Linked DNA regions of Diceros bicornis minor. The protein of the gene in region 1 interacts with the protein of each later gene in a biochemical or structural test. Links are inferred from orthologs where the notes say so. Each region holds a gene or a part of one and is shown in the gene's direction. Other genes may lie near its edges. The genes, in order: NHERF1, ADRB2, TBC1D10A and PDGFRB.

Region 1 (6,969 bases):
GAGACTTGCAACACATGGGGTTTGGGGCCACTCAGGACTGGAGAGGCCAGAACAAAGATGCAGATGAGACAATGCACAGGGCATCGTGTTTGGGGTCAGTGAGCAGGATAATCAAATAGAAGAAGGAAGGGCCAGAGGGAAGGGGAGAATGGCTGGTGCTCAGCCTCAGCCTGGCTCAGCCCACCCTCTCCCACAGGCCTGGCTCACTGAGATCCATGAGTATGCCCAGAGGGATGTGGTGATCATGCTGCTAGGCAACAAGGTGAGTGGCTCCACGGCAGGGTCAGCCCACCCCTCTCCTCTCCCACTGCCACAGCATTAGCTCTACCAGCCCCATAGCCACCCAAGAGTGTTAGCTGGACATTCTTCCAGCAAAGGACTCTTTCAGTCTCTAGTTCAGGAGTCAGACCTATTTGGCAGCTTCAGCCCATGTCACCTGCCCTCTTAAAGCTTTGGAAACGGTCCCCTGCAGGGAAAGCTCAAGCTAGTACCTGAGAGACCCACGGTTGCCCAGCTGCTCAGCCCTTATTAGATGGTCGTGATGAGGGTCACGGATGAGGAGCTAAGACTGGAAAGGGTTAGCCCCAACTACTGCCACCCCTTTGAGGCTGGCTCACCACACCCGTACCAAGGAGAGTTACCCACCTCCCCCAGGAGGAGTGAGATCCCAGGGCTGGGAGCTGGTAACTCAGCCTGACCAACCCAGAAACCCTGGCCCCATGCCCATCGTGCCACCTGCAGTCCTGCAGGCCACCAGCAGAGGGCGGGTAGTGCCTGCTCCTGGGGCAAAGAATAGGCCAGGCAGGGGCAGGGCCAGCTGGGGTCAAGGCTTCCTTCCCCAGAGTGACCCACCTGGGCTTGACAGGCGGATGTGAACAATGAACGAGTGATCCGTTCGGAGGACGGAGAGACGCTGGCCAGGGTAAGTGACTGCCTGTGGGCAGGGTGAGGGGTGGGGGCAGCCACAGGCTAGCCCTGAAGACACTCTCTCTCTGGCAGGAGTATGGAGTTCCCTTCATGGAGACCAGTGCCAAGACAGGCATGAATGTGGAGTTAGCCTTTCTGGCCATTGCCAAGTGAGAGCTGAGCAGGGAAGGGAACCGTGCGGGGCAGGGTGGCACCATCTGGGAATCCAGTATGGCCTGGCCCCCCTCCCCCGCCAGCCCCTGGGCCCAACTGCCTTCTGCAGTCTGAGGTCCATTTGCCCCGGGCCATAGGAGTGGGGAGGATGCTCAGCTCCTCAGTCCGTACCCAGCCCGTTGTTTCTTCTTCTTCCAGGGAGCTGAAACACAGAGCCAGGCAGCAGGCCGATGAACCCAGCTTCCAGATCCGAGACTATGTGGAGTCCCAGAAGAAGCGGCCTGGCTGCTGCTCCTTCTTGTGACTCCCAAGGGGCTGAGAGGAGGCTCCAGAGGCCCACGAGGATGCAGCCTTCTCCCCCAGACCTGGCTTACTCTGAGCAGCTAAGCCAGTGGGGAGAGAACTGGGGGACCCAGTGCACAGGCCTTCCTTCCCAAGAGGGAGCTGTACTACCTACTTCCTGGACTTCCCTGCATCTCCAGGGAGGGTAAAATATTTATATTTCATTTTAATGATACACAATTTAATACAAAAAAAGGCACCAGAAAGCCCAGGTAAGGACCTGGTGGCCCTTTTGCCTTCTAGTGCTAGGACTGAGGGGTCGGGGCCTACCTCCTAGCCACAATGAGGGCAGTATTGCTCAGCTCAGCACCAGGGGACACTGATGCACTTCAGTGACCCCCTTCCCACTCTCACTTCAGCTGGAGAGAGGCTTCATGTCCTCCAGCTTCCCAGGGAACAATCTTCCCCACTAAGACAGGGCCCTTGTGCTGGGAGCTAGACCAAAACCTCAGGGAAGATAGGAGATATGGAGATTGGGCAGGGACTCTGCTCCCTGGGAGGGGGAGAGAGGAGTAGCAGAGATTAGGTCTGTTTGGCTACCTCTGGCCCTACTAACGCCCCTCCAGGAGGTGTACCCTTTCCCTCCAGCCCACAAGCACACTGGGGCACCTGGAAACATTTGGTTCCTGTTCCCCAGACCTCAGATCCCAGGGAAGCCCCTCCTCCATGAATCCCTGGTCTTATCTACCTTTCTGGCTGTGCCCCTACACACCTAAGGTCCCAGCTAGGGAAAGGTGGTTCTTCTGTCCCAACCCTTTAGCAGGTATGCAGCCCCCAGGCTACTTCAAGCAGCTGTAGTGCTTCTACTGGGAAAAAACCAGATAAAGAGAAACCACCTGGAGCAGGTGGGAGGCAGAATTGAGTAAACCTTGCCCTACATGTATGCCCCTAAACCCAAGCGCTGCCTCCTCCCTGACACCCACGCCCATTTTTTCCCAGACAGACGCAGACTCAAAACTGCTCTATCTCCCTTTCTACTAAGCCAGGTTAGAGAGTGAGAGGTCATCCAATTCTGGTAAACCAATGCAATGTGTGCAAAATAAGGTCATGTGGGTAAGACTGGGGTAGGGAAGGGGCGGCAAGGAGTTACGGGAGCGAAGGTCACAACTCTCCCAAAGCCCTTACCCCAGCAATCAGAAGGGCCAGGGTACATGAAGGTCATGACCTAAAGCACCTTACTCCAGCTCTCTGGGCCATGGGTGGGGAGAGACACCTTTGCTCCAGCTCTCCAAGTCAGGGGCGGGGGAGAGGGATAGAAAGAGGCATGCACTGCACATTTCTGAGGCTACTGCACTTGCTTCCACGGCAGAAATCTTGCTCTCTGAGCAGAGTCAGCAGCTCCAACTTGGGCCAGATAAGGAAGCTCTCCCGAGCAGAGCAGGGAGGAGCCTGACCTTGCCGGCTCTTCTGGGGCCCAAGGCAGGTCACAGGCGATCCAATCATGTAGGCTGTACTGGGCCTCCAGCATTTGTGTTTTCCAGAATTAAACTGCAGTATTTTGGAAAGTACACACTGTCCCCTGCTTCTTTGAGGTGCCCATGGGGCGGGAGTCATGTTGAAAGGATTGTTATTGCATGCTGGGGGAACTGTCATTGACAGCCAAAATCACTTGATCCTCATCCTTCAATGTCCCCAACTGGTCACCTCATCCTTTACAGACCACCCCTCAGCCTCTGTGACCAGCCTCTCATCTGCAAGAAGGAACTGAAAGGTTTATCTTACGGTCCTAATCATTCTTTCTCTATTGAAAAAAGCCAGGTCTCCTTGCCCTGGAGACTATACCCAGAGATGATTACCTGACTCTGTTCTGCCTCTCTCCACCCCACCTCCCTAGCCGAACGCTGACGCCAATGCCCACGCCATTGCCCTACCTAGGTGGCCTTTTTCGGTGGGCAGCCGCGCAAAGCCTGGGCTCTCTGCTGAGACCCTCGCACTGTCCCAACCAGGATCAGAGCCCGCACTCCTATAAGCAGGTCCTGGGACAGTGCAAAGTGACTCCGCAAATGGGAAAATATCGTTATTCAGACAACTCTGCTGGGTCCGAAGTGGACCTCCGTCTTACTCCTCACACCGCTGGGACCTCGCAGCCCCGGAGCGGGAGCGGTTTCCCCGGCAACAGTCGCCCCCTCCCCCCCTCAATTGGAGCTGCACACAAGGTTTTGGCTAAAGGCTGTTAAAACGTTAGCGTCCTTTACTCGAGGGTTGGCTCTCCTCAATCCCCGCCACAGGTGGGGGAAACCAGAACAGAGCCTGCGGGCCCCTCCGCCCGGTACCGGGAACTCGCCCCGCCCCCCGCCTCAACTCCGGCCACTTGGAAACAAACACTTCCACTTCCTGAGCCCTCTTTCTTCTCCCGCCGCGGGGCACCGCGCCGAGCGCACGGCCCCGCCCCTGCGCGTTCCCATTGGCCGGCGTCCTTCACCCGGCCCGAGCGCCCCCTGTTCTTGGTCTCTGATTGGCCCGCGGTGGCCCACACCCTCAGCGCGGCCCCGCCTCCGGGGTAAGGGACCTGGGCGGGTTCTAGAACGCTCAGACGCCGCGCGGGGCGGGGATTGGTCCGCGCGCTCCTGGCTTGGCTCCTTGCTGCTCGTGGCAGCCTCTCTTGGGACACCTGCTCGCTCGGCCTGTCCGGCGGTGCGGGAATTCTCTGCCGCGCTCTCTCCCGCCCCCTGGTCCGCAGGGCGGGGAGAAGGGCTGGACCGTCCCATCTCCGGACCCCGACCCGACCCCGCGGCGCGCTGCTGAGTCGTCCCACGGCGAGATGAGCGCGGACGCGGCGGCCGGGCCGCCCCTGCCCCGGCTCTGCTGCCTGGAGAAGGGTCCGAACGGCTACGGCTTCCACCTGCACGGGGAGAAGGGCAAGATGGGCCAGTTCATCCGGCTGGTGGAGCCCGGCTCGCCGGCCGAGAAGGCGGGGCTCCTGGCCGGAGACCGGCTGGTGGAGGTAAACGGCGAGAACGTGGAGAAGGAGACCCACCAGCAGGTGGTGAGCCGTATCCGCGCCGCGCTCAATGCCGTGCGCCTGCTGGTGGTCGACCCTGAGACGGACGAACGGCTGCAGCAGCTGGGCGTCCAGGTCCGGGAGGAGCTGCTGCGCGCCCAGGAAGGGCCCGGGCAGGCTGAGCCGCCGGCCGCCGCGGAGGCGCCGCGCGAGGCCGAGAAGAGCCCGCCGGAGCGGGTAAGTGCGGGCCCGGGCCGAGCGGCGAGGCTGGAACGAAGTTGGAGGGGGGATCGGGGAGAGACCCAGGCGCCCGGGACTCCCAACCCTGCTCCCGCCTTGTCTTTCTGAAACCCGATCCTCGAGGGAGGGACTGCTTCCGCCCGCCGACTGGGCGCACTGGCGGTTGCAGGCTTGGGGCTGCGTCCCGCGACCCCCACTCCCCTTCCCAGACAGGGCTGGGACCCTGAGCGCCTTTACCACCTACACCTCTTGACCCTTGGTCTTTGGTAGGGAGGTGAGGGAGCCCGGTCCCCTTTTCTGGGTTCTGTTGGTGGGGTCTGCTCCCGTTCCTCGGAACCACGCAATCTCGCCCTCACCGCCCCAGAGGTGCCAGCTTCCTCCACGGCCCCTGTGGGTGGTAACGGAAGCTGGAGTGAAGCGAGCGCGGCTCCGACTTCAAAGAGCTAGAGGAATAACAACCGCCTTTTCTGTGCGGAGCCCCGGCGCTGGGAGGGGAGGGATCGCAGACAGGGTTCTCCCTTCCCCCCAGCCCGCTGGTGTGTATATCATTAACTTCAGGCCGGCTGGACTTCATCCTCCTCCTGAAGTCGGTCGGGTGACTTCTAGGAAAGAAGAGGAAGCCCCACCGTCTCAGGGCAGCGTGTTGGGGGCTGGGGTGCGGAGAAGAGGTGCAGAGGCCTTGGAGTGGTGGCGGCTCCACCACCCAGGAGGATTTATGATTCTCAGGAATGTGAGGAGTAAGCGCTACCTTGTATCTGGGAGCGGAGGGAGGACCTTGGAGGAAAAGAAATGGCTGGGGAGAGGGAGAGGTGGGAGTGGTCCCGTGGTACTCTACCCTCCAGCGGCCAGCGGGGCTCACCATGGGCAGGTGGTCCTGTCCTGGCATCATCTGTCTCACTCCAGTCCCTGGACGGCAAGCAGGCTGGTTGCTTTTTGCCCATGTTTGGTGTTTGCACAAACGATCCCAGTTTGGATCAGCTGCCCGAGGGGCAGTGGCAAACAGGAGCTGTGCTGAGCCTCCTGTTCCCAGAGAGTGGAGGGGGGAGGCCTCCCCAGGCGGGTTTGGCTTGCACCAGCTCTCCACCTGGTGGCAGCATGTGGCAGGGGTGTCCTTAGTGCCAGCAGGAGCCTCCCTGGACAGAGAAAGGGCACAGTTCAACCTTAAGGTAGAAGGTGGAGCCTGAGAGGACCAATTGGTTTGGTGAAGTGAGGTCACCAGGAGCCTTGTCCAGCCAGAGATGGGTGCCGGCAATGACAGGGCTGCCCGGCTCCCACTTCCTGCCGCTGCCAGGCTGGCATTGGCAAGGATGGGGGAGGGGTCGGAGCACCCCTGGCAGGGGTTTGACACCAGGGAGTTAGAACCTATGACCTCTCGTCCCAGGCAGAAGTCCAGTTTGAGCTTTGTGCTGAGTGCATCAATTTGCCATTCCCTGTTTGTTTTTTTTCATTTGGACTTTGGCACTCGCACAAGTAACGCACCCCCCCTAAGTCGCAGTTATGTTCAACTCCTCCCATTGCCCTTTTGGTTTTGCTGCTGGGTGTGTGGGGAGGGGTGCTAGGGGAGAGGCCAGACTGGAGGTTTGACCTAGCGCACAAGCTCCCGCCACACCATTTGAAAAGGCAGCAGTGCTTCCACCCCTGGAGCACAAAATCAGATCCCCCCAGATGGTGGTGTGACACCTGCATTCGTGTGTACTTTGCTAGGCCAGGAGAAGGGAGCAGAACCGCCTCCAGCCAGTCCCGGGAACACCATCACCAGGCCTCTTGGGTTTATGGTCAACAAGCAAGTCACAGAACTTCTCTGAGCCTTGGTTCTTCCATCTGTAAAATGGGAGCATTGGATTACAGTGGTACCTGCTTTCTCTAGAATTTTACAAGTATGAGAAGTACTCGAGCCCCTGGTGGATGCTGAATTGAGTTCCTTTATGCCCAAGCACTGGAATCCCAGCTCTGTGCAAGGACTCCTTTGGCCTTATACAAAGCCTATCAGCACTGTTAAGACCCTCTAGTAGGATATTCCAGTTAAATCTGGTATGGTGGTCATGCAGGTGACCCACTCCATCACTGCAAAAAAATGTTAATAAACATCCTAAGAGTTATTTTTTTTTTCCTAAAAGACATCTCTTGTATAAAGCATTTGAGTTTTACTAGTTAGTTTTAGCCTGAATTTGTATGCAAAGTAGAGGCTGTTATGGTATCTTCATTAGTTCTCATAAGTGAAAAAGATGTTAAGTGGAAAAGTGCATGCAGAGAATGGGTGGCGGTGACATATCATTGGGAAGAACAGCCCAGTGGAGAATGATAAGGGCAGAGGGTGAGGGTACCTGTAGTACTGGTCTGGGAGGATGTGGAGGGGCACTGCCAGC
Region 2 (7,567 bases), on another chromosome or scaffold:
TGTTTGATGACTTGTTGTAGGATTTTTCTAGGAATTGATGTGAAGTCTAGACATCAGCAAACCCAGGTATGAATAGAAGATACCTGCCACGATGCTAAAGGAGACTCTAGACCTAAGGGAATGAGGAATATTTAACCTGAAGAAGAGAAGGCTCAGGAGAACTTGAAGGGATTCTCCCAAAAGCTTAAGGACAGTCTTGGGGAAGAGGAGCTTTGCTTTGAGTGGCCTCAAGGGGGCAGACTTAAGATGCTTGGGTAGACACTTTAAGAACATGGATTTCAGTTCAATATCTGGATAGTTGGAGAAATATACACTGAAAAATGGAGCTGGCGAGCTTGCCTTCACTAAACATGGCTGTATAAGAGTTTTGGTGGCTGCATTGTGTAAGGAGCTGACTAGACTGTGAGATGTTTCATTCAGAACCACTAATATCCCATGCAGGAACATAACTCAATGATAATGGTAATATTCAGAATCATTCTTCTTTCTAAAGAACCAAGTTTTATTCCTTTTTTTCCTGTCAATTCAAATTAAAAATAAATTACTCATCATCCATGTTCAAAGTGTCCTTTCATACATGTGATCTAAGATAAATATGCATTCTACATATACATTTTGATTCAAAAATAAGATAACAAAAGTAATAGCTAACTTTAGGGGCCGGCCCGGTGGCGCAAGTGGTTAAGTGCGCGCGCTCCGCTGCGGCGGCCCGGGGTTCGCTGGTTCGGATCCCGGGCGCGCACCGACGCACTGCTTGGTAAGCCATGCTGTGGCGGCGTCCCATATAAAGTGGAGGAAGATAGGCACCGATGTTAGCCCAGGGCCGTCTTCCTCAGCAAAAAAAGAGGAGGATTGGCGGATGTTAGCTCAGGGCTGATCTCCTCACAAATAAAAAAAAAAAAAAAAAAAAAAAAGTAATAGCTAACTTTTCTCCAAGATAGCCTGTTAAGCACTTTACGTGCAATTAATCTTATTTAATGTTAATTTAACGAGATGATGCTGTACAGAGATAATATTAAAGACAGACATTTAAGACCATCATTTAGAAAGAAATCTACGGATGTTTCTCTGCTCAGAGGGTCATAAAGATGAAAGGAATCTTGTCTAAGCCAAGACCAGGATAAGATTTTCCTAAGCCACACAGCTACTGGTGCGAAGGCATCTCGTGGCACCACAGAGCCCTTAGTCCTATTCAAACATTGGTTCAGTAAATCAAAATGTGTTTTTTTTCCTGCTTGGCAGGCAGGAAACAACGAATCAGTGTCTTAACAGATTGACAAAATACGTAATTAGACACTATCAATCACCATAAAAGAGCCTGCTTTTTCTTACATCAGATAAAGGTGCATTTAGTCTACTAAGGACTTTCCAGTTTCATGAAGCATGAACTCCCTAAGGCCACAAATACAGTAAGCAGTGCTAGTCAAAGTCCTCTGCTAGGGAAAGAAACGAAAGAGTGGGCAGTGAAAACACGTGAGCCCAGGAGCAGACTTGGCTCCTAATTTTCCCTGCCCTCCTTGGACTGGATACTCGCTTCTACCCTTTAGTTTCCTCATTTGCAAACCGGAGGGAGAGGAATAAACTGAACGATCTACTATACTCTTTCCCGTTCTAGTTCTCTCTAATCCTATAGTTCTAAAAGGAGGTCAGGAGAAGACTCCTGGCGTGAAGACAGCATCTTGAAATTCCTACCAGCTTCATGATGCAGCAGAGATAGAGAGAGCTTGTCCATTTGGCAAGGCTGGTGAGCAGAGGCCTAGAACTTCCTCATTGACATAAGCAGTCTTCCCTTCTTGATTTAGTGTTTGTGTGTTTCTTAAAAGGTGTTTCCCCAAATATTAAAAGTTAAACTTTTGGGGCCGGCCAGGTGGCTCAAGCGGTTAGGTGTGTGCGCTCCGCTGCGGCCCGCGGTTTGCCGGTTCGGATCCCGGGCGCACACCGAGGCACCGCTTGTAGAGCCACGCTGTGGTGACGTCCCATATAAAGTAGAGGAAGATGGGTACGGATATTAGCTCAGGGCAAATCTTCCTCAGCAAAAAGAGGAGATTGGCATCAGATGTTAGCTCAGTGCTGATCTTCCTCACAAAAAAAAAAAAAAAGTTAAACTTTTAAGTGACTTACGTGCATACCTAAATGATCAATTAGTGTTTGTCCTAAAAGCATTTTCGTTCTTTTTCTTGTTATGGGAAGGTTAAACAATATGCTTGTTTATCCCATAGCTTCACAAACAGGAAGGAGGTTTTAAATGGCTCAGTTCCACGATTTGGGGTAGATGTATATTTAAAGAAACGTGTTGCATAACAGACACTCCTTCCTCCTAAAATGCATCATACCAGAGCCAATTTTGGAAAACACAAATATGGGGTAGTTATATTTTGAAAACTATGTGAACATAATAGAACCTTAATTAATATTTGTGGCTTTCTATGGGAAATATTTGTTTTGTAAGGCATCTGCCTTGCGAAAACAGTTTCTGCTAGTGAAGGAAGTTAAAAGGTGCATGTACGGTTAAATTTTGTTTCTGAGTTTTACTTCTAGAGTAACTGCCCAAGTTACTTCTGTCCTTTATTGTCCTGGTAGAGAAGACTAACAGCATATTCTAAACTACTAAGTAATTTACATAAAGTTCATTTATAACCCATATTTATGTCTCATTTATATGTGCCAAAGCACTTCTACATTTATTATTATATCATTTGATTCTCACTCAGCCTAATGGAAATGACTTTATTCCCCCTTTAGAGATGAATGAAATTAGGCCCCATCTTTGTCATTTGCCTAAGGAAAGTGAGCTAGAAAGTTCCGAGACAGGGGGATCTGCATCCTGGGTACTCCAATTCCAGTTGGAGTTCTTCCCAGTCCTCCATTCCTTTTTGTATATGATGATGCGGTACACTGAACAAATGAAAAGATGGGTTTTAGAGTCAGGTAGATCTGGGTTCACCTCCTGCCTCTGACCCTGTGCCCCTAGGCAAGATTTTTCCTCTTTGAGCTCCATTTGTGAATTAGGCTAAAAATAGTATCCCCTCTACCATGGGACAGTGGGAAGGATTAAATGGAACAATGCAGGAAGAGCACACAGCAGAATGTTCCATAAATGTTAACCATTGTTATGTTATTATGCAATCTACAAAGTATGTTTGGTTACACCACACGAATTACTTTCAGTTTTTCAAAGACACTACTAATACATGTGAAATCAAACCCTGAAAATTAATTTCTTTTTAACAGTGAAGTCATATGCCAGATGCCAAGGATAGTATTTCACCGGCAAAGATCCTAGTTTTAAGGCTTGGTCTGACTTTTGTTTTTTAAGGAGAAATTATCTTTTGCTTTCTGTGGTTTCCAAACAGTCGTAATGGCAACACATTCTTCATAGTCTGAGCCATATGAAAGTGACATTTTTTAAGTCAGAAACTGCCGATATGGCTCAACCAACAGATCAACAAACTACCCAGCAGATGAAAGGATTTTCCTACTTACAATGGGATTGCTGAAGTTGAGGTTGAAAGGAAAATTCTTCCATTTTCAATACATTTTCATTCCAACAGATAATGAGGGAATGATGCCACACTCACAAGAATTAAAAATTAAAGCATACAACTTTCTTTCTCTCGTCCAAAACACATACATGCACACCCAGCTCCAAATGAAATCCAAAGTGTGAAATTGTATGTCTCAATGCTTGCAAATTCCCAAGGAGGGCACCAAAAGTGCTTGATAGAGAGTGTGCTGAGGAAATCGGCAGCTGTTGAAGTCACCTCCTGTGGTCTTGCCAAATGTTTGAAAGGGTATATGCTGTGTGTCCGTATGTGTGGTGGAAGGGGGTGGGGAGGAGGTCGGGGGTGCAGGGGTGAGGGGTTTGGAGTACCTGGATGGGGACGTCCGTGTCGGTGGCGCTGTGCATGCCTCCAGAAGGAGCGTTTGTGTGTTGTTTACTTCTTTTTGTGTGTGAGCCCATGCCTTTGTGCTTCTGGGTGCCCCTGTGCTTGTTTCTGGCCGCGTATCTGTGTTGACAGGGGTGACTGTCGGTTTCTGTGCGCCCGCGCTCGTGTGCTCGTCGGTGCGCTGGACGGGTGTGTCTCAGCGTCGGTGGCTGTGGCTCCGTATAAGTCTGAGCATGTCTGTCGGGGTGCGTGTGTGCCTGTCCGTGCATGTCTCAGTGGGCACTCTGGTCTCTGTTTCCGAATGCGGGGGAGTGCCCGCGTGCTGCCCTCTGCTCTCAGACCTCGGGCCGCACAGGCCCCCACTGCAGACAGGTAGCAGCCACAGAAGAGCCAAAAGCTCTCGGGTTGGCTCGTAAGCGGGCCAGTTCGAGCTTCAGCCCTCCGGGACCAGCCAGGGTAGCCGGGAGGGAGTGGTGGCCCGCCCGTCCGCTGGGGAGCAGCCGAGCCCCGCCCGGGCCAGCGCCAGGAGTGGGTGGGAGAGGGAGGGGAGGGAAGGGGCGGAGGCCTCGCCCCTTTGGGGCTGCCGGCGCGCCATTGGCGGAAAGTTCCCGCACGTCACGGGGAGGGCAGCTCCCCTAAAGCCCTGTGCACATAACGGGCAGCGCACACTCCTAGGCGGCTTCTCCAGAGCGCAGGCTGAGACTGACAGGCACCGCGAGCCCAGAGCACCCCACAAGCTGAGTGCAGGACGCGCCGCAACCACACCCACCCCACGGCCGCTGAATGAGGCTTCTGGGCGTCAGCTCGCTGCCGGCAGCGCCCCGCCGGAGGTCCGCCCGCTGAGGCGCGGCCGGTGCGCTGGCAGCCAGTGCGCTCACCTGCCAGCCTGCGCGCCATGGGGCAACTCGGGAACGGCAGCGTCTTCTTGTTGACGCCCAACGGAAGCCACGCGCCGGACCAAGATGTCACGCAGGAACGGGACGAGGCGTGGCTGGTGGGCATGGCCATCGTCATGTCCCTTATCGTCCTGGCCATCGTGTTTGGAAACGTGCTGGTTATCACAGCCATCGCCAAGTTCGAGCGTCTGCAGACGGTCACCAACTACTTCATCATTTCCCTGGCCTGTGCTGACCTGGTCATGGGCCTGGCGGTGGTGCCTTTTGGGGCCAGCCATATCCTCATGAAAATGTGGACTTTTGGCAACTTCTGGTGCGAGTTTTGGACTTCCATTGATGTCTTGTGCGTCACGGCCAGCATTGAGACCCTGTGCGTGATCGCAGTGGATCGCTACGTTGCCATCACCTCACCCTTCAAGTACCAGAGCCTGCTGACCAAGAATAAGGCCCGAGTGGTCGTTTTGATGGTGTGGATTGTGTCAGGCCTTACCTCCTTCTTACCCATCCAGATGCACTGGTACCGGGCCACCCACAAGGAAGCCATCAACTGCTATGCCAAGGAGACTTGCTGTGACTTCTTCACGAACCAAGCCTATGCCATTGCCTCCTCCATCGTGTCCTTCTACTTGCCCCTGGTGGTCATGGTCTTTGTCTACTCCAGGGTCTTCCAGGTGGCCAAAAGACAGCTCCAGAAGATCGACAAATCTGAGGGCCGCTTCCATGCCCAAAACCTCAGCCAAGTGGAACAGGATGGGCGGAGCGGGCATGGACTTCGAAGGACCTCCAAGTTCTGCTTAAAGGAACACAAAGCACTCAAAACTTTAGGCATCATCATGGGCACTTTCACCCTGTGCTGGCTGCCCTTCTTCATCGTGAACATCGTGCATGTGATCCAGGATAACCTCATCCCTAAGGAAATTTACATCCTCCTAAACTGGGTGGGCTATGTCAACTCCGCCTTCAATCCCCTGATCTACTGCCGGAGCCCGGATTTCAGGATTGCCTTCCAGGAGCTTCTGTGCCTGCGCAGGTCTTCTGTGAAGGCCTATGGGAATGGCTACTCCAGCAACAGTGACGGCAGAAGTGACTATGCAGGGGAACAGAGTGGAGATCAGCTGGGTCAGGAGAGAGACAGCGAACTGCTGTTTGAGGACAACCCAGGCACAGAAGACTTTGTGAACCGTCAAGGTACTGTGGCTAACGATAGCGTTGATTCACAAGGGATGAATTGTAGTACCAATGACTCAGTGCTGTAATGCGGTTTTTCTACCTTTTAAGACCCCCCCTAACAAAACACTAAGCAGACTATTTAACTTGAGTGTAATAAATTTAGAATAAAGTTGTATAGAGATGTGCAGGAGGAAGGACATCCTTCTGCCTTTTTTTTTATTTTTTTAAGCTGTAAAAAAGAGAAAACATATTTGAGTGAGTATTTGTTTCTTGTACAGTTCAGTTCCTCTTTGCATGGAACTTGTAAGTTTATGTCTGAAGGGCTTCAGTCCCAGAGAACCTGGGGCTGCTATGTTGTGATGACTTTTCTGCATATCTACCTCATTGGTCAAGTATTAGGCGTAATATATTGCTGCTGGTAATTTGTATCTGAAGGAGTCTTTCCTTCCTGCACCCTTGGACTGGAGGATCTTGAGTATCTCGGACCTTTCAGCTGTGAACAAGGACTCTCCCCGCTCCTCTGATTTGCTCAAACAGGGTGTCATAGGCAGGGATTTGAGGGGCAGCTTCACTTGTTTTCCGGAGCAAAGTCTAAAGTTTACGGTAAATAAATTGTTTGACCATGACTTCATTGCACCTGTTTCTCCAAAACCCCTTGACTGGAGTGTGGTTCCTCCCCCACTGGAAACCGCAGGTAACTATTTGTAATAACTGCCCAGTGACTTAATATGGAATAACACAGGAATGACAAGCACTGATTGCTTAACCCTTTCATTTGCCTTTGAATCTGCAAACCTGTATCTCTCCTAACGCTAGGGCCCCAAATCAGTTCTGCCTGCCCCCAGCATAGCTTGTCTCACTTGTCCTACGGTTATTATTCTGTGTTGTCACATCAGAAACACTGACTCATAGAAATGGAGTTATGGACATCTGTTTTGTCCCTCCATGAACCCCACCACCCACCTTCCAGCTCTACTTGTTGGATAGCTGCTTATATTTATGTCTTTGCCATGTCTTAGAGTGGAGATCTTTGTACTACCTCAGGCTTTGGCATTTTAAGGATAAGGAAGAAGTTATTGTGAAAAAGCTACTCAAACAGAGCCCTGTAATTCCAAGGGAGAGTGAAAGGGCATTGGTCATACAGCGAAAGCTGGAAAATACTTAACTGAGGAATATCTCATGACCTAGAAACAGCATTATAAGCCCTCCTCCTTCTTTCCTTCTGTCCATTTCTTCCCTCTCCTTTTGACACTCCTCACTTCAGTATAAACCAATTTCTCAACCTTGGCACTATTAACATTTGGACCAGGTGATTCTCTGTGATGGGGGCTGTTTTGTGCATTGTCTGATGTTCAGCAGCATCCCTGGCCTCTACCCATTAGATGCCAGTAGCACCCTCTGAGTTGTGCCGACCAAAAATGTCTCCAGACATTACATTACCAAACACCTCTTGAGGGGTGAAATTGCCCCTGGTTGAGAACCACAGATATAAAGTTCAAAAATCTAAACAGATTTTTAGATCCTGTCTCATGTGACCATTTTATTTTGCAGAGCCTAAGAGAGGGATTTTTCAGGGTTCCTCTGGTTAGTGACAGATCCTGGGCCAATGCTCTC
Region 3 (6,946 bases), on another chromosome or scaffold:
GAGAAAAGGAGGAAAAAGGAAAATGAGGCTGATACCCCTGGTGACAATCTCTGGATCAAACTGCTCCTGAAGCTTATTTACCTATGGATTTTTTTAGTTATGGGACCCACTGAATGCAGTTTTGGGTTAAGCCTATTTGAGTTGTGTTCTCTGCCACTTGGACCAAAAGATTCTTAACTGTTATCCTCAGTGTAGGGATAAAGAAGATTTATAGTTTGCCTGTTCTTCGTAGGCTGCTGGGCATTAGCTGTCTACCTTCTGAAACTCAGCTCTGCTCTCATTACGAATAAAGGCTGTGACATCTGGACATCTGCTTGTGGCCAGTACTGACAGATTTCCTGAGCACATGCAAGCTGCACATTTCCAGGATCCAGGAGAGGGGACTGCACGGGGACCTGTGTGAGTGCCTCGGGCTAAAGTTGCAGGACTGACCCCAGTAGGATGAGACTACAGGTCATCAACACCTTCCTGTAACCCTGGCCTAGCATCTCATCCTCAAAAGAACATCTACAGCAGCCAGTCTACCAGGATGTTTCACAGTGTTGCCAAAGGTCTCTTATTTTGTACTCCAGCGAACCACGTGATTCTGCAGGGCATTCCTTTGGATCATTCATTCATTCACTCCTCCTCCTGCTTTCTCACTCCAGTCTAACCACACCATCTTCTGAGCCTGCTTCTCTTTCAAGGGCTTTGCACCTGCATGCCCTGCCTTGCCATGCCGTCACTGTTCTCCCGGATCCCCACAGAGAGGGTTCCTCATTTCCATCTATTCCCCCCACCCACAGCATTCCCTCTACCTTACTCTGCTTCATTTTCATTTTCACACTACCTGACAAATGTTCTGAGCTTGTTCATGTCCTTCCTCCTCCACTGGAATATAAACTATTGGGCCAGGACTTCATCTATCTTGTCCACTAGAGTAATATCAAATAAGTTATTAAAGAGCCCCAGGGCTGGCCTGGTGGCATAGTGGTTAAGTTCAGGCGCTCCCCTTTGGCGGCCTGGGGTTCGCAGGTTCATATCCCGGACGTGGACCTACACACCACTAATCAAGCCATGCTGTGGCAGGCGTCCCACATATAAAAAAGTAGAGGAAGATGGACATAGATGTTAGCCCAGGGCCAATCTTCCTCAGCAAAAAGAGGAGGATTGGCAACAGATGTTAGCTCAGGGCTAATCTTCCTCACCCAAAAAAACAAAAACAAAGCTCTGGAGTTTGAAGAAACATAACATTTATTGTCCACTATGTGGTGGAGGCTTCAGCAACATAGCTCACTGACTCTTCACCAAGTAATTGTTGATATTCCTATTCTTCAGAACAGGAGACAGATTCTGAGAGGTGAAGCAGTTTTGCACAGAACATCCAGTTATTGAGGGGCACAGCCATGAAGCAAAGTCTCCCAAGCCATGTGCCATTGGTTAAATTAGGTAAACTCCCCTGCTGCAGCCACAGGCTGTGAAGGGAAATACAAGACAATAATGAATTTGCGAGTGCTTTGCAAACTACAAGTACTACCACTCCTGGCTTCCATTTACTGGGTATCTCCATGTGCCAAATGCTTAGCACATATTATCACATTCAAGTTTCAGAACAACTCTTCCAAGGAGGCATTTTTTAAGTATTTCCATTTTGCAGATGAGGAAATGGACTCAGAAAAGTGATTTGCTCAAGGTCATACAGTGACGAGCAGAGATTTGAATCCTGGGTGGTCTTATGTAAGAAAATTAGAAGCTGGGGCATCAAGGCCTAAACTTGAGAAACATCTATCCCGTCTCCCAAAGATGGACACTTGGCTGCCTCTAACCTACTCCTCACGCCTAGTCCTGGGGTGAACATCACTGTTCATGTGCCTTTACAGAGCTGAATGTGTTTGGGATGTGACCCTAGGACCAGAATTATAGAGTCAAAGGGTTATTGATACTTCGCCAGGCTTGGGGCTTCACATCTGCTCCAGGTGTGTCTGGCTCCTCTCTCTTCCTTCTGTGGGATAGGCCCACACTCCCATGCGAGGCCCGCTCTGCCCCTCCTGAGAGCTGGGACTAAGAGCCCACCACTCTGTCTGGAGCCACTGGAGGGGAGGAATGGAGAAGCGTCCTCTCAGACTGAGAGTTTAAGACCAAAATAGCCTGTGCCCACTCCCATGTCTGCTATTGGCCTCTTTATGGAAAACCAGAAGCCTATGGAATGTGAAGACTGCACAGTGAAGTCTTCAAGAATGTCTGGGCCACGTGGCATCAAGGAAACGGCTGGTGAAATCACTCAAGGCATAAGACTTCCCCTCTTGGGGCTTGCCTCGGGCCCCTTAGCGGTCTGCCCCAAGCCCTGTAGCTCAAGCCTGGCTCTTCCAGTCCCTTCCCTGCTCTGGGCCTATCTCCCCCAGAGGTCTATAGAGGAGTGTCAGATGACAGCATGATTGTGACTTGTAAACTATAAAGTACTGGACTTAATTGAGGAGCTATCATTATGGCTCCGAAAGTTGACAATCCCTGGGGTCAGAAGTAGGCTGCTGGGAGCTAAGTGTGTATAAATACAATTGGTCCATGCCTCCCAATATAAGCTGTTGCTAAGAGCTAGGTTCAAATCATGGCTCTGCCACAAGCTAGTTCTGGGACCTTAGGCAGCTGACTTTATTTCCCTGCATCTCAGTTTCCTTAAGTGTAAAATGGGACTAATAATAGTATCTACCCTGTTGCTCAAAGATTACAGGAGACAGTGTGACCAATTTTGAAAACAGCTTGCCAGTTCCTGGAAAGTTAAACAGAGTTACCATATAACTCAGCAATTCCCACTTCTAAGTATTTACCCAAGAGAAACGGAAATATATGTCCACACAAAAGCTTGTACCCAAATGTTCATAGCAGCTTTATTCATGATGGCCCCAAAGTGGAAATAACCCAAATGACGATCACTGAAGAATGGATAAACAAAACGTGGTATATCCACAGTGGAATATTATTCAGCCATAAAGAGGGATGAAGTACAGTACTGATAACATGCTACAACATGGATGAACCTTGAAAACATTATGCTAAGTGAAAGGCCACATATTGTATGATTCCGTTTATATGAAATGTCCAGAAAAGGCAAATCTATAGAGACAAAAAAGCAGATTAGTTGTTGCCAGGGACTAGGGGAGGAAGGATGCGGAGTGACTGCTAATGGATAGGAATTTCTTTTTGGGGCCATGAAAATGTTCTAAAATTAGATTGTGGTGATGGTTGCACAACTCTATAAATATGCTTAAAACCATTGAATTATACACTTTAAACGGGTGATTTTTATGGTATGTTAATTATATCTCAATAAAGCTGTTGGAAAAAAAGATTACAAGAGAAAGTACGCAGAACTTGGGGCAGTGAGTGGCTTCATGAGCTGTTGGTCATTCTTATTAATTAGGTTCCCGTAAGCTAATTTAAAGCCCCAGAAGTAGTGAGCAGGCGGAGGAGGCTGCGGAACTTCTAGCTCAGCCTGGGTCTTTAAGCAGCTGAGTGTCCCTGGGGCAGTCCTCAGAGTCCTTCAAAAATGAATGGGTGAAACAATCCCCACCCACGTCCCTGGGGTCTCGCGAGGAGGGAGGCCTTAGGAGGCGGATGCGGAATCCCCAGCTGAGGCCCTCGGCCTCTGCCTGCACTGCGAGGCAGGTGACAGGCCAGGCTGGGGCCGACCCGGAAAGGCCCAAAGAGCTCATTCAGGTGAGCTCGTGTCATTGGCAGCCCGCGGAGGAGGGTTCTGGGTGACGGGTGCCCCGCCCCCTCACGTCGGGCCGGTTGGCGCCAGCCGCGGGGGGGGGGGGGGGGGGGCGGGCCCTGGGGTCCGCGGCGCCTATTGGGCGTGGGGGGAGCGCTCCCGGGGAGGGCCTAGGGCCCCGCCCCCGGCCTGGCGGCGGCCAATGGGCGCGGCGCGTGGGCGGGGCGCCGGCGGCGTCGGCGGCGGCGGGGCGGCTGAGGAGGCTGAGGTGGCTGAGGTGGCCGCTGAGGCTGAGGCGGCGGGCGCGGCCGGGATGGCGAAGAGCCGCGGAGAGAACGGGCCGCGCGCGCCCACGGCCGGGGGGAGCCTGTCGGGGACCCGGGAGAACCTGGCCCCGGGCCCCGACACCGCAGCCGCCGACGAGCTCAGCTCTCTCGGCTCCGACTCAGAGGCCAACGGCTTCGCAGAGCGCCGCATCGACAAGTTCGGCTTCATCGTGGGCTCTCAGGGCGCCGAGGGCGCGTGAGTGGCGCAGGGGCTCGGGCCGGGGGCTAGGCCGGGCGCGGGACCCGCGGGGGTGCCTCGACGCGGACAGAGCCCCCCTCCCAACCGGGGACGGCCGACTCCTTCTCTCCCCGGCCCCACCCACCCCCTCCCCCCCCTCCCCCCTCCCCCCTCCCCCCTCCCCCTCCCCCTCCCGCTCCGCCCAGGCAGACCGACCCGCCCCTCACCCGCGAGCCTACTTCCGACCTGGGCACAGACAGGCAGGGACGGACAGACGGGAGGGTGGGGTATCTTCCCCTTGCCCCCCACCCCCAGGCAGTCTGACCTGCCCCCAGGAAGGGCCTCCAGTGTCCTCCTCCCAACTACGGGACAGAACGGCAGACACCTGTCCCAACCCTCCTGCTGCCACCGCGGCCTTCAGGCTGATTGACTTTGCCCCCCCCCCACAGGCTCACAGATGGCTGCCCCTCCCCCACAGACCGACATCCTCCATCCGCCACCTCCCCACAAGACCCACAGACCCCTTGTCTCACTACCCCCACGCGGGGGGACACCTTAGGCAGACTTCAAGAGATAGACTGCCCTGCCCCCACCCCACTCCAGGACTCACAGCCCTTACCTCAAGGCACACAGACCTCTGGATGGACTGACAGCCACCCCCACCCCGGGACGGACAGCCCCTTCCCCTCAAGGAAGGGTCGGAGAGTGCTCCCCTCCTCCCCTCAGAAGCAGATTTCTCCCTGTCAGTGGCAACAGGTGGGCAGACACTCCCCCTTCCGAGTACCCACGGGGTGACAGTGCCTCACTCACAGGCCAGACTCTTGGCTGTCTCCATGTATGCTGTGGAAACAAGCCCTTCCTCTTGAAATACAGACTAGGGGGCAGGCAGGGAGACAGTAGGGTCCCTGCTCATAGCTCACCGAGATCCCCCACCCCTAGAGTCCCCAGGCACCCAGCTGGCGGGCAGAGAAATGTGAGGCGGGAGAGCAGCACCTCCCCTCCAAGCTGGGTAAACTGGGCAGCCATGCTGCCCCACAGAACCCCCTGAGCCCAATCCTCACAGAGGTCGTGTGTAGGGGCTGGCAGTCCCCTGAAGAAAGATAGACTCCAAACCCCACTCCCATCCCAGCTGTCCTGTCACATGAGACCAGTGTTCTGCACAGAACTCACAAGCCTCCCTCATGATGTGCCTCCCCTTCAACAGAGACAGCCCCACACTATAGCTTGTGGGGGCCCGCAGGACTCAGCCATGACCCTACTTCAGAGGGTCCTTCCTCCCCTTCTCTGACCTGTTGTGACTGCCCAAGGCTCCTCCAGCCTCTCTTATGACTTATGGAAGTGCCTTGACCATCTGTAAAAACCCCACCCCACACAAAAGTCAGCCCCATAAAGGTCACTTCCGGGATTTTCCCCAGTCCCAAAGCCTCATATTCTCCAGGCCTCCTTCTCCTTTAGAGAAATGTAGGCCCCCCCCAAGAAGAGTTCTGTCCTACCCACTGGATCTGTCTCCTCCAGCGTCTCCCCACTTGCTCACAGCAGGCGCAGGCTAAGCCTAGTCCAGTCCAGGACTCTGGAGAGTACCCCATATTCTGATCCCTCACCCTGACTTGATGCTTTGTCACAGTTCGCCAGGTATTAGCTTGTGAGAACCCAAAGAGGACTTAGGGTATATTTTTGAGTTGAGGAGCAGTCACCAGGGATCAGGGCCCTGGGAAGGAACGGGTCTTGAGAAGAGGGAAAAAGTTCCCAGTTGTTGGGGCCGGCCTGGTGGCACAAGCCGTTAAGTGTGCGTGCTCTGCTGCGGTGGCCTGGGGTTCGCTGGTTCGGATCCCAGGCGTACACTGACGCACTGCTTAGCAAGCTATGCTGTGGCGGTGTCCCATATAAAGTGGAGGAGGATGGGCACGGATGTTAGCCCGGGGCCAGTCTTCCTCAGCAAAAAAAGAGGAGGATTGGCAGATGTTAGCACAGGGCTGATCTCCTCACCAAAAAAAAAAAAAAAAGTTCCCAGTTGCATTTATGGGTTCTTGGAAGGAAGAGCTCAGATTTGCTGGTGAGTTCTAGGAGATGAGAATTCATACTACATGCTTCTCAGGCAGTTAACCAGAACTCGGTGAATAGAGTAGTGTGATATAGTGGAAAAAGACCAGATTTAGGAAGAAATCACACTTGCTGGCTGTGAGACCTTGGGCAAGATCCTGAATCTCTGAGCCTATTTACTCACTGTAAAGCACAACAGTAACTCTACTTCCAAGATTACTATGGGGATTAAATGAGATCAGGTATGCAGAGGTGCCTAGCACAGTGCCTGGCACAAGTAGTGGCACAGAAAATATTATTAGTTTCCTTTCTTTTCCTTCTAAGGGTCTGAGAATTGAGGAGAAAAATGAGGGCATACGTCTGGTATTTGTGGACAGAGAGAGGCCTCAGTGGGAGCACCTCCCTTTGGCTGTAGTCCCCAACCAGGCAGCCAGACATCTGTCTTCAACTGCAAACCCGGGCTTTGTAGACGCCCTCTGCATCACTGGTGTCTGTAGGGCTGGGGCTGAGGTGGGATCTCTCCCTGCCTTACTTTGTTGACTCCGTTGGTCAACCTAAAATCTCTGGTGTCTGAAAGCTTGAATGTTCCCTGCTTAGTTTACATTGTGGTTCCAAAAAAGCCACAAGTAAGTCCCTGCTCAAGGCTATAAGAGAGGAAGTTATGGGAAGTTTCAGGGTGACCGTCCTGAACCCAGTCTCGTGGTTGAGGGCTAG
Region 4 (7,464 bases), on another chromosome or scaffold:
GTTTCCTTGGTGTTTGCTTGTGAGCTGTATGAGGCCAGGGCACATAGTAGGTGCTTAGTTAACTTCTGTGTGGTGGCTACATGGTGGGAGGAGCAGGACAGCCTGGGAGTCAAAGTTAAAGGCCCCTTTCCAGACCTACTGTGTGCCCTCAAGCAGGTTCTGGCCTTCTCTGGGACCCACTGTGTCCAGTGAGGAGAAGATACGTGGCCTCTGGGGGCCCTGCTGTTCTGATGACCCTTGAGCCATCTGTGTGTACCAGAAGGACACACCCTTGTTCCCTGGGGCACTGAGACTGAGGCCAGCTGGAGGCTGGGGAGGGGCTGAGGCGGGCAGGGTCTTGAAGCCCTTATCTCCTGCGACCTTGTCAGGCCTTGGTGGCCTCGGTCTGGCCCAGTAAAAGCAGTCCTGCAATCTAGAGTGAGAATGTGGCCCGAAGCCCCCACTGGTCCCTCTGCCCAACCAGACAGCCACCATGCTGAATGTCCAGGAGGGGAAGGGGCAGTTCCCACTGCAGGCCCCTTCTGGCTCCCCAGATGCAGGCACAAGGTCCTACCTGCTCAGGGTGCGCAGAGTGGAAGGACACTGAGCTGGGGGTCAGGAGTCCTGCATTCCAGGCCCTTTCTCTCTCTGCTAACCTCTGACAGGTCTTCTCTGCTCTCTGAGCCTCAGTTTCTGTGCCTGTACAATGGACTCACTCCTAGGACTCATCTGGCCCTGACATCCAAGATGACTGTGCCGATGCCTGGGACGTGTGTGTTGCTTCGTCGCCCCAGGCCGGGCGGGGGGGAGGCGAGGCAGCGCTGGGAGCGTGGGAGAGCCAGATGTGGTAGCCGCTGGCCCTGCCTGAATGAGTGCTGAGCCAGCCTACTGGGAATTCTCCTACTCAGGCGCCCTTTCCGGACCCCCTCCCCCGCCCCACTGAGAGCTGTGGCTTCCGGCTCAGCTAGGCTCTGATGAGCTGAGCGTGGGTGGGGGTCTGTGGAGGGGGGCAGTTCAGCCTGGTTCCCTCCTCCAGGGAAGAACACGGGCCTAAGAGTCTGGACAAAGCCTCCGTTCCAGTCCTGGTCTTACATGTCACAAAGCCTGGTACAGTCACATTCCATCACAGGGCCTCAGTCATCTCAGCTGTAAAATGAGCTGTCGGAGGATCTTCCCTCCAGTCCTGATGGTGAACTTCTGTGACAGCAGCGCCCGGTGACACCTAAGAATCAGTCACCTTTCTTGGAGCTGTCTCGCTCTGCTCTAGTCCTTGTACAAAACACCTCCTGTGCATCACTTATTTGGGCCTCTCCAAACAACTCTGTGAAGGAGGCGGCTGTATCCCCATTTTACAGCTGAAAACACCGAGGCTCTTTGAGCTCGGATAATGTAATCTGTCCAGGGTCACACAGCTGGGAAGTGGCAGAGCTGGGTTGGAAGTGCTGACATCAAAGCTCAGACTCTTAATCCTTGAGCAGGCCACCACGCAGTGGGGAGGGGAAGTGCTGAACCCCACTGCCCAGAGCTGCTCTCTCCCTCTGCACCCCACCCCACTCTACCTCAGGCAGGACTCCCCATGCTCCACGCTCTGCCTGTCCAATCTCAGCCTAGCCTCCCCCAAGACAGGTGTGTCCGAGGCTGGCCTGGGCTCCCAGCATCTGGCCAGGTGGGAGACTGCTCACGGCTCATCCTGTCCACAGTGGGCTGGGGGCCATGCTGACCATGCCAGCCTGACGGGGCTGCACTGTCCACATGCACTGCCCACTGCCCACCCCTTCAGAGTGCACAGGGGAAACTGAGGTCCAGAGAAGGGAGAGCTCAGCCCAGGGGCACACAGTGACGGGTTGCAGCTGGTATGAGAGAAAATCACTATTTCAATAATAACACTTCCAGACACTGTACTAAGCCCTTTAAGTGCATTACAAATCACAACAGTCTTTCGAGTCATTCCTCAAATTATCTCCATTTTCCAGAAGAGGAAACTGAGGCTCAGGAGTTCAAGTGACTTGCCCAAGATCATGCAGCTTGAAACTGCAGAAGCTAGCATTTGAACCCAGCTCTGTCTCTGGCTCTGGAACCTGCCCTGTCAATCGTGACACTTCCGCCTCAACTGTCCAGCCCTCGGGGAGTGCCCTGTGGTGTCTCACGTGGCTCTGTGTCCCCCAACCCCATCTCAGCTGAGAAGAGCCTTAACAGCCCTGCTGCCTGCCAAGGGTTAATGGTGGTAGGGGCTAAGTGATTCCAGATGGGCCAGCCGGACGGCTGGGCTGGCCGGAAACTGGCGGCCGCCGGCTTCCCGGGGGAGCCACCGGCAGCCGCCCCCTCCCCTCTGTGCTGCATCTCTGGCCCCCAGCTGTCCCCTTGCCCTGGGGCCCACCAGCCTCCTCTCCCTAGCCAGAGTCCAACTCTAAGGAACTTGTAGACAGAGCATCCCGAGCGCCTTCCAGCTCAGTGAGTCCACCCCTGTTATGTACAGATGGGGAAACTGAGGCTCAGAGAGGACAAGATACCTATCCAAGACCAACCAACAAGTCCACAGCTGGGGTTCCTGACTCCCGGCCTAGCTTTCTTGGGGCTGCGGGTTGAGATGCCGCCTTGCTTCCCCTGAGTTGTCCTGGTCCCTGCAGTTGGGCCAAGGCTTTGGAGGTAAACGGCTGAGGCAAATGCTAGAAGGGGAGTTGTACAGACTGATGGAGTCTCTGGGCACAAGAAATCCCTGTGCAGGCCTGACCCTGTGGTCTCTGGAGTCCCCCTGTATTCCCCTCTGACCCAGCTGCCACCAAGCTGGGCCAGGCCCCCTCTCTTGGGAGGCTCTCACGGCCCCCACCCCATGGCCTGGAGCCAGTCTGAGAACCCTTCTCCCTCTGTGTGGCCCAGGCCAGATGCTCTGCTGGGCAGTCCCCACTGGGACAAGACCAAGAAATGACCACCAGATAGGTTCCTGTGGGTGGCATGAAATCCCAGCTCAAGCAAAGCCCCCGCCCCATGAACAGGAGCCCAGGGTGAGGCCTGGGAGAAGGGATAGACAGAGGTGCAGAGGGCAGGACAGAAGGAGCCCTGGACAGAGTCACGCTCTACCTGTGTGACCCGGGACACCTTTCTCCCCCTCTCTGGGACTCAATTTCCCCATGTGTGCAGTAGTGGGGGCAGGAGGTGACTGCCTAAGCCCTTTTAGTCAACTTCCTAAGCCCTTTTATAATGATGGCCTTCGCATCTAAGGGCCAGGAGATTGTGACTAGAGACAGCTTCTGATCTGAGGAAACGAGGGTAGAAGAAGCCAGGTCACGAGAGGCCCCGCCGACGTCCTGGAAGAGCCTTGCAGCCCCTAGTGGGGAGGAGGCCCGGAGGCTGGAAGTGGAACATAACAGGTACTCGAAAATATCTGTTGAGTGACTGAATGAGAAACGGGGACAGGGATAACCTAGGTAGAAGGTAGGACAGGAGTGCCAGTCTACACTGCAGTGTGGGTCAGGTCCCCGTGTCTGTTCCATCATGTAACTCGTGGGACCTGATTCTGCTCGAGTTCTGCCATTGCTGTGCGAGCTCATTTCACTCTGCTGGGCTTCACATTCCTCATCGATATATAAATGGGGAAGTAACCACAGCCCTACTCCAGGGCTTTGAGATGACAGAAAGGAATATGTCTGGAATCTGAAGTGTGCTGGGTGACCTTGGGCAAGTCTCTTTCCCTCTCTGCACCAAGTCACCCCTTGGCCTTGGTTTCTTCTTCTGAGAAGTGACCGATCATCTTGGAAGGTCTTTCCGTCTCTTCCAAGTCACCTCTTCTCAGGTGCCCTTTCTGATTCCCTCCAGCCTCAGTTAGGTGCCCCTCCAGATGCGCTCTGAGCCCCCCTGCCCTCCCTTGGGGTACCCAACTGTCCATTGTCTGTCTCTTTCACTAGCCTGGGCACCCCTGAGGTCAGGGACTGTGTCTTACTTACTACTGTGTCCCCATCACTCAGCGCAGTGTCTGGCACATCGTAGGCGATCGACATGCTTGTTCAATGAATGAGTGTTGACTGAATCAGCCGTATAGCTTATCAGAGCTCCCTTTGTAGATGGGGAAACTGAGGCACACAGAAAGGACTCGCCCCCAGGTGCCATGGCAAGGGGAGGCTGCCACCCGAGACAGGCATCAGGCGAGTGGGGCCGGGCCACTCTTTAATAAAAGTGACTCAGCGGCTGGCGTGGGCCGCGGAATTTCTAAACATCCCCTCACATCCTGAAGGAGCAGCGATGGGAGGGAGCAAGCAGAGGGAAAAGAGGAAGAAAAACAAGAAACTTGGGGAAAAGAAAGAGGGGGGAAAAAACTGAAATTGAAAACAGACGCACGCGTCCAACCTCCCCGCCCCACCGCCCCCCTTCTCCCAGCTGAGCCAATCAGAGGCCATCCTTCAGCCTTTCCCCCAAGGTGGGGGGGCAGGGAAGCCCACAGTGGTGTGAGCTCCTGGGGCTGCCAGCGGCCGCAGTCCCTGCCCGCCCCGTCTGGGACCCAGGATTGCTCTGTGAGCAACTTGGAGCCAGGGAGGAGGAGGAGGAGGACCAGGAGAGGGCCAGGCCCCTCTGACCAGCGCCCGGCAGCAGCCTTCGCCCTGCGACACAGACAGCCAGACCCAGGGCGGCCCCTCCTGGCAGCCCTGCTCCTCCCGAAGGATGCTTTGGGAGTGAGGCCACTCCTTACCCCTGTAGCCCCCCACTCCCTCCATTTTCCTGAGGCTCCGGGAGCCTGCAGCGGCCTTCCCTGCCCTCCTACCCAGCTGCGGCCCCCTTTCGGGTCCAGCAAAGTCTTTCTGATAAAGGGAGAGGGCCGTGAGGAGGACTTCCTGGAGGGGGTGACAGCCCAGAGCCCAGGACAGTGCCCATACCAGAAGGCATCAGCAGCAAGGTAAGTGCTGGGAGAGTGGGGAACCCCAACCCCTTGTCCTGTCCCCTGGCCCCAGCCTGCGCCTTCTTGAATAGGTCAAAAAATGGAAAATACTTTTAACAAAACCAGATGGGAGGAGGCCGGGAGGCTGCGGGCGACATCAGGGCTAGAGGAGCCAGTTCTTTCCTCTCTCTTGCTCAGGCTGCTTCTGGGGTGGGTGGCCCCGGCCTCCTCAACCTTGCTGCCCCCTGCCCTCACCAAACAAACCCCAGAGGTTTCCGGGTGTCGACTGGGGGCCTCCAAAGCACAGCACTGCCTGCGGGAGGTGGGGAGAGCTGGGAGGGGTATGAGAAGGGAATTGGGAGATGGCAAGCAGCGTACACAGAACGGGGACCTACCAAGGGACAGGACCTCAGAGGCATAGCCCCTGTCCATGGGCCCAAGTCTTGTCCCTAAGAATCTGTCTGGCTCTGGGCCAGTCGGCCGCCAGGCAACCTCTGGGGATTTAAAAGATTTGCAAATTTTCCAGATTCCTAAGATGTCCTTCAAACCCCCAGCGGCTGGGAAAGTGTGAAGGAGAGGGGGCCCTGGTGGTGGCAGGCCCATCCTAGCAGTTATGGTCATGCAGCCGGGGCTGGGGGTCTGGGGCCCGGCCATCAATCTGATGGCCCCTCTGTGGAGCAGCGGGGTCGGCTGCTGGCCCTTTCCTCTGGTCCCAGGCAGTGCTCAGGCCCCCTCTCTCTCTCCCTCCTGCCAGACACTGCCCCTTCTCCATCCTAAAACACGAATCTGATCACGATTCCTTCCGTGATTCTCCCCTGTAGAAAGCCCAAAGCCCTAACAGCGGCTGCCACTGATTGAGACTCACTGCCTGCCAGGGCTGCGCGGAGTGCTTTGTAAGCATGATCTCATGTAACGCTGGCCAGCAACTCCAGGGGCAGAGACTGATTTTACACACAAGGAAACTGAAGCTCACAGCGGCCACAAAACTGTAGCTAGTAAGTGGCAGAGCTCGGGGAGATAGTAAGCTCCGTGCCCCATCACTCCAAACTTGGGCCCTGTGTTCCTGCCAGTCAGATCCCAGGATTCCCAGAAGGAATTTGCAAGATCCTGCCTGTGGGCCTGCCCTTCCTCATCACTTCCACTTTTTCTTCAAGGACCCTCCCTTCTCCACCTCCTCCAGGCAGCTTCTCAGATGCTTCCAGTCTTCCAAGTGCTTGCTGTGCCCTTCGCACTGGAGCCTTGTTGCCTGGCCCTCTCTTCCTGTTTGTGTTCTGTTTTGCACATCGGAGATCATTCAGGACCCAGGCTTCCCCACCTGTATTCTGTCCCCAGTGTCCCTGGCAGGCAGTGGGGCTGAGAAAATGTGCTGTTGAAAGGGAGGAGGGACTCACTGAAGACCTCCTCTTCCCAGATGAGACCAGAGCCCAGGCCCCCTGTCTTCCCTCAGGTGCCCTTCCAGAACATCATGCAGCTCCTCCAGACTGCATTTTTCTCTGTCAGACAAGGAGGGGTGTCCCTGCCTGCCTCTGTGATTCCAAAGTGCACAGAGGCCTCTGCGAGCTCTTCTAAAGCCACAAGCAGGAGGGCCCTGAGTCCACAGCACTCGGGGACATGAGGACCATGCTGGTCACCGTCGTTGAGTGCTTACCCCATGCCAGGCTCAGGCCCTGTAATCCCCACAGCAGGTCTTTGGAATGGGTATTACTACCCCTGTTTGGCAGACAAGGAACCCGGGGCTGAGAGAGGCTAAGAGAATTTCCTAGGGTCACACAGTTAGTAGAGTTGGTGTTTAGGCCACGATCTGCCTGAATCCAAACACTTAACTCTCTCGCTACCCAGGGAGCTCCTGGTGAGAGGGGAGAGAGTCTCCATCCTCCCATGGAGCCTGCTCCTGGCTCCAGCACCTTCCATGGCGGAAAGTTCAGCTCCAGGCCTGACCTGCTCCCAGGTCCACCTGGGCCCTGGTTTGGTCCTGAGTGGGGAAGGAGACCATCTGGTCAGCACCCTCCCTTCAGCAGTGATCAGGCAGCGCTCCCTCCTCTGTGGGAAGAAGAGCTGCGACTTGTAATTGCCCACAGATGTGGGGCAGCGGAAAGCACCGTGGATTCAGAGTCAGGAGACCCGGCGCTCGCCCTGGCTCAGCTCAAATCCATGTGTGGCCAACCTCAGGCCCCCGTGTCCTCTTTTTGGGCTGCGTCTACATCTGGAAGGCAGTGGGCACCATGGGTAAACAACACCAGGTTTGGGCATCGGATGACCATGGATTTACCCCATTTGGCTTCTGGCTGACTGTGTGACTCTGGAGTTCAGTCCCCTCCTCTGTGAGCAGCAGGGCGGTATGTAGGCTCCAGGAGGTAACAGTATAGGTAAGGTACACAGTTCCTGCGCTTCACGGGGCTGGACCTAATGCCATTGGCTATGAGAGGGCTGCTGCTCTCCCCGCCTCCTGCACAGGACAACTTGGCTGTGAAATTAGTCTGCAACCCGCAGAGGGCTATCCCCATGGAAGGGACCTGGACAGCATGGGTATTCTAAAGGCCCACTTCCGTCCTCCAGGCACTGTCCGGCTCGGAGACCAGCTGCCTTCTGGGCAGAAGGAGGAGTCTCTGGGCATTTTG

Evidence for each region.
Region 2: the proteins of NHERF1 (region 1) and ADRB2 form a complex in vitro, tested with the Homo sapiens proteins (3 studies listed by BioGRID and IntAct, with this or other methods). The link is inferred for Diceros bicornis minor from reciprocal best matches to the Homo sapiens genes NHERF1 and ADRB2.
Region 3: the proteins of NHERF1 (region 1) and TBC1D10A form a complex in vitro, tested with the Homo sapiens proteins (2 studies listed by BioGRID and IntAct). The link is inferred for Diceros bicornis minor from reciprocal best matches to the Homo sapiens genes NHERF1 and TBC1D10A.
Region 4: the proteins of NHERF1 (region 1) and PDGFRB form a complex in vitro, tested with the Homo sapiens proteins (2 studies listed by BioGRID and IntAct, with this or other methods). The link is inferred for Diceros bicornis minor from reciprocal best matches to the Homo sapiens genes NHERF1 and PDGFRB.

Annotation. Positions count from the first base shown.
Region 1 is NC_080757.1:55,335,424-55,342,392, forward strand, and holds the start of NHERF1 (Na(+)/H(+) exchange regulatory cofactor NHE-RF1), read left to right. Parts: upstream 1-3,967; 5' UTR 3,968-4,183; coding exon 4,184-4,600; intron 4,601-6,969. Other genes in the region: RAB37 (ras-related protein Rab-37), read left to right, coding at 197-262, 866-922, 1,000-1,076, 1,279-1,384. UniProt on the Homo sapiens protein: Scaffold protein that connects plasma membrane proteins with members of the ezrin/moesin/radixin family and thereby helps to link them to the actin cytoskeleton and to regulate their surface expression. Necessary for recycling of internalized ADRB2.
Region 2 is NC_080740.1:66,047,429-66,054,995, forward strand, and holds the start of ADRB2 (beta-2 adrenergic receptor), read left to right. Parts: upstream 1-4,556; 5' UTR 4,557-4,782; coding exon 4,783-6,039; 3' UTR 6,040-7,567. UniProt on the Homo sapiens protein: Beta-adrenergic receptors mediate the catecholamine-induced activation of adenylate cyclase through the action of G proteins. The beta-2-adrenergic receptor binds epinephrine with an approximately 30-fold greater affinity than it does norepinephrine.
Region 3 is NC_080774.1:23,836,835-23,843,780, reverse strand, and holds the start of TBC1D10A (TBC1 domain family member 10A), read left to right. Parts: upstream 1-3,945; 5' UTR 3,946-4,001; coding exon 4,002-4,210; intron 4,211-6,946.
Region 4 is NC_080740.1:67,175,194-67,182,657, reverse strand, and holds the start of PDGFRB (platelet-derived growth factor receptor beta), read left to right. Parts: upstream 1-4,451; 5' UTR 4,452-4,864; intron 4,865-7,464. UniProt on the Homo sapiens protein: Tyrosine-protein kinase that acts as a cell-surface receptor for homodimeric PDGFB and PDGFD and for heterodimers formed by PDGFA and PDGFB, and plays an essential role in the regulation of embryonic development, cell proliferation, survival, differentiation, chemotaxis and migration.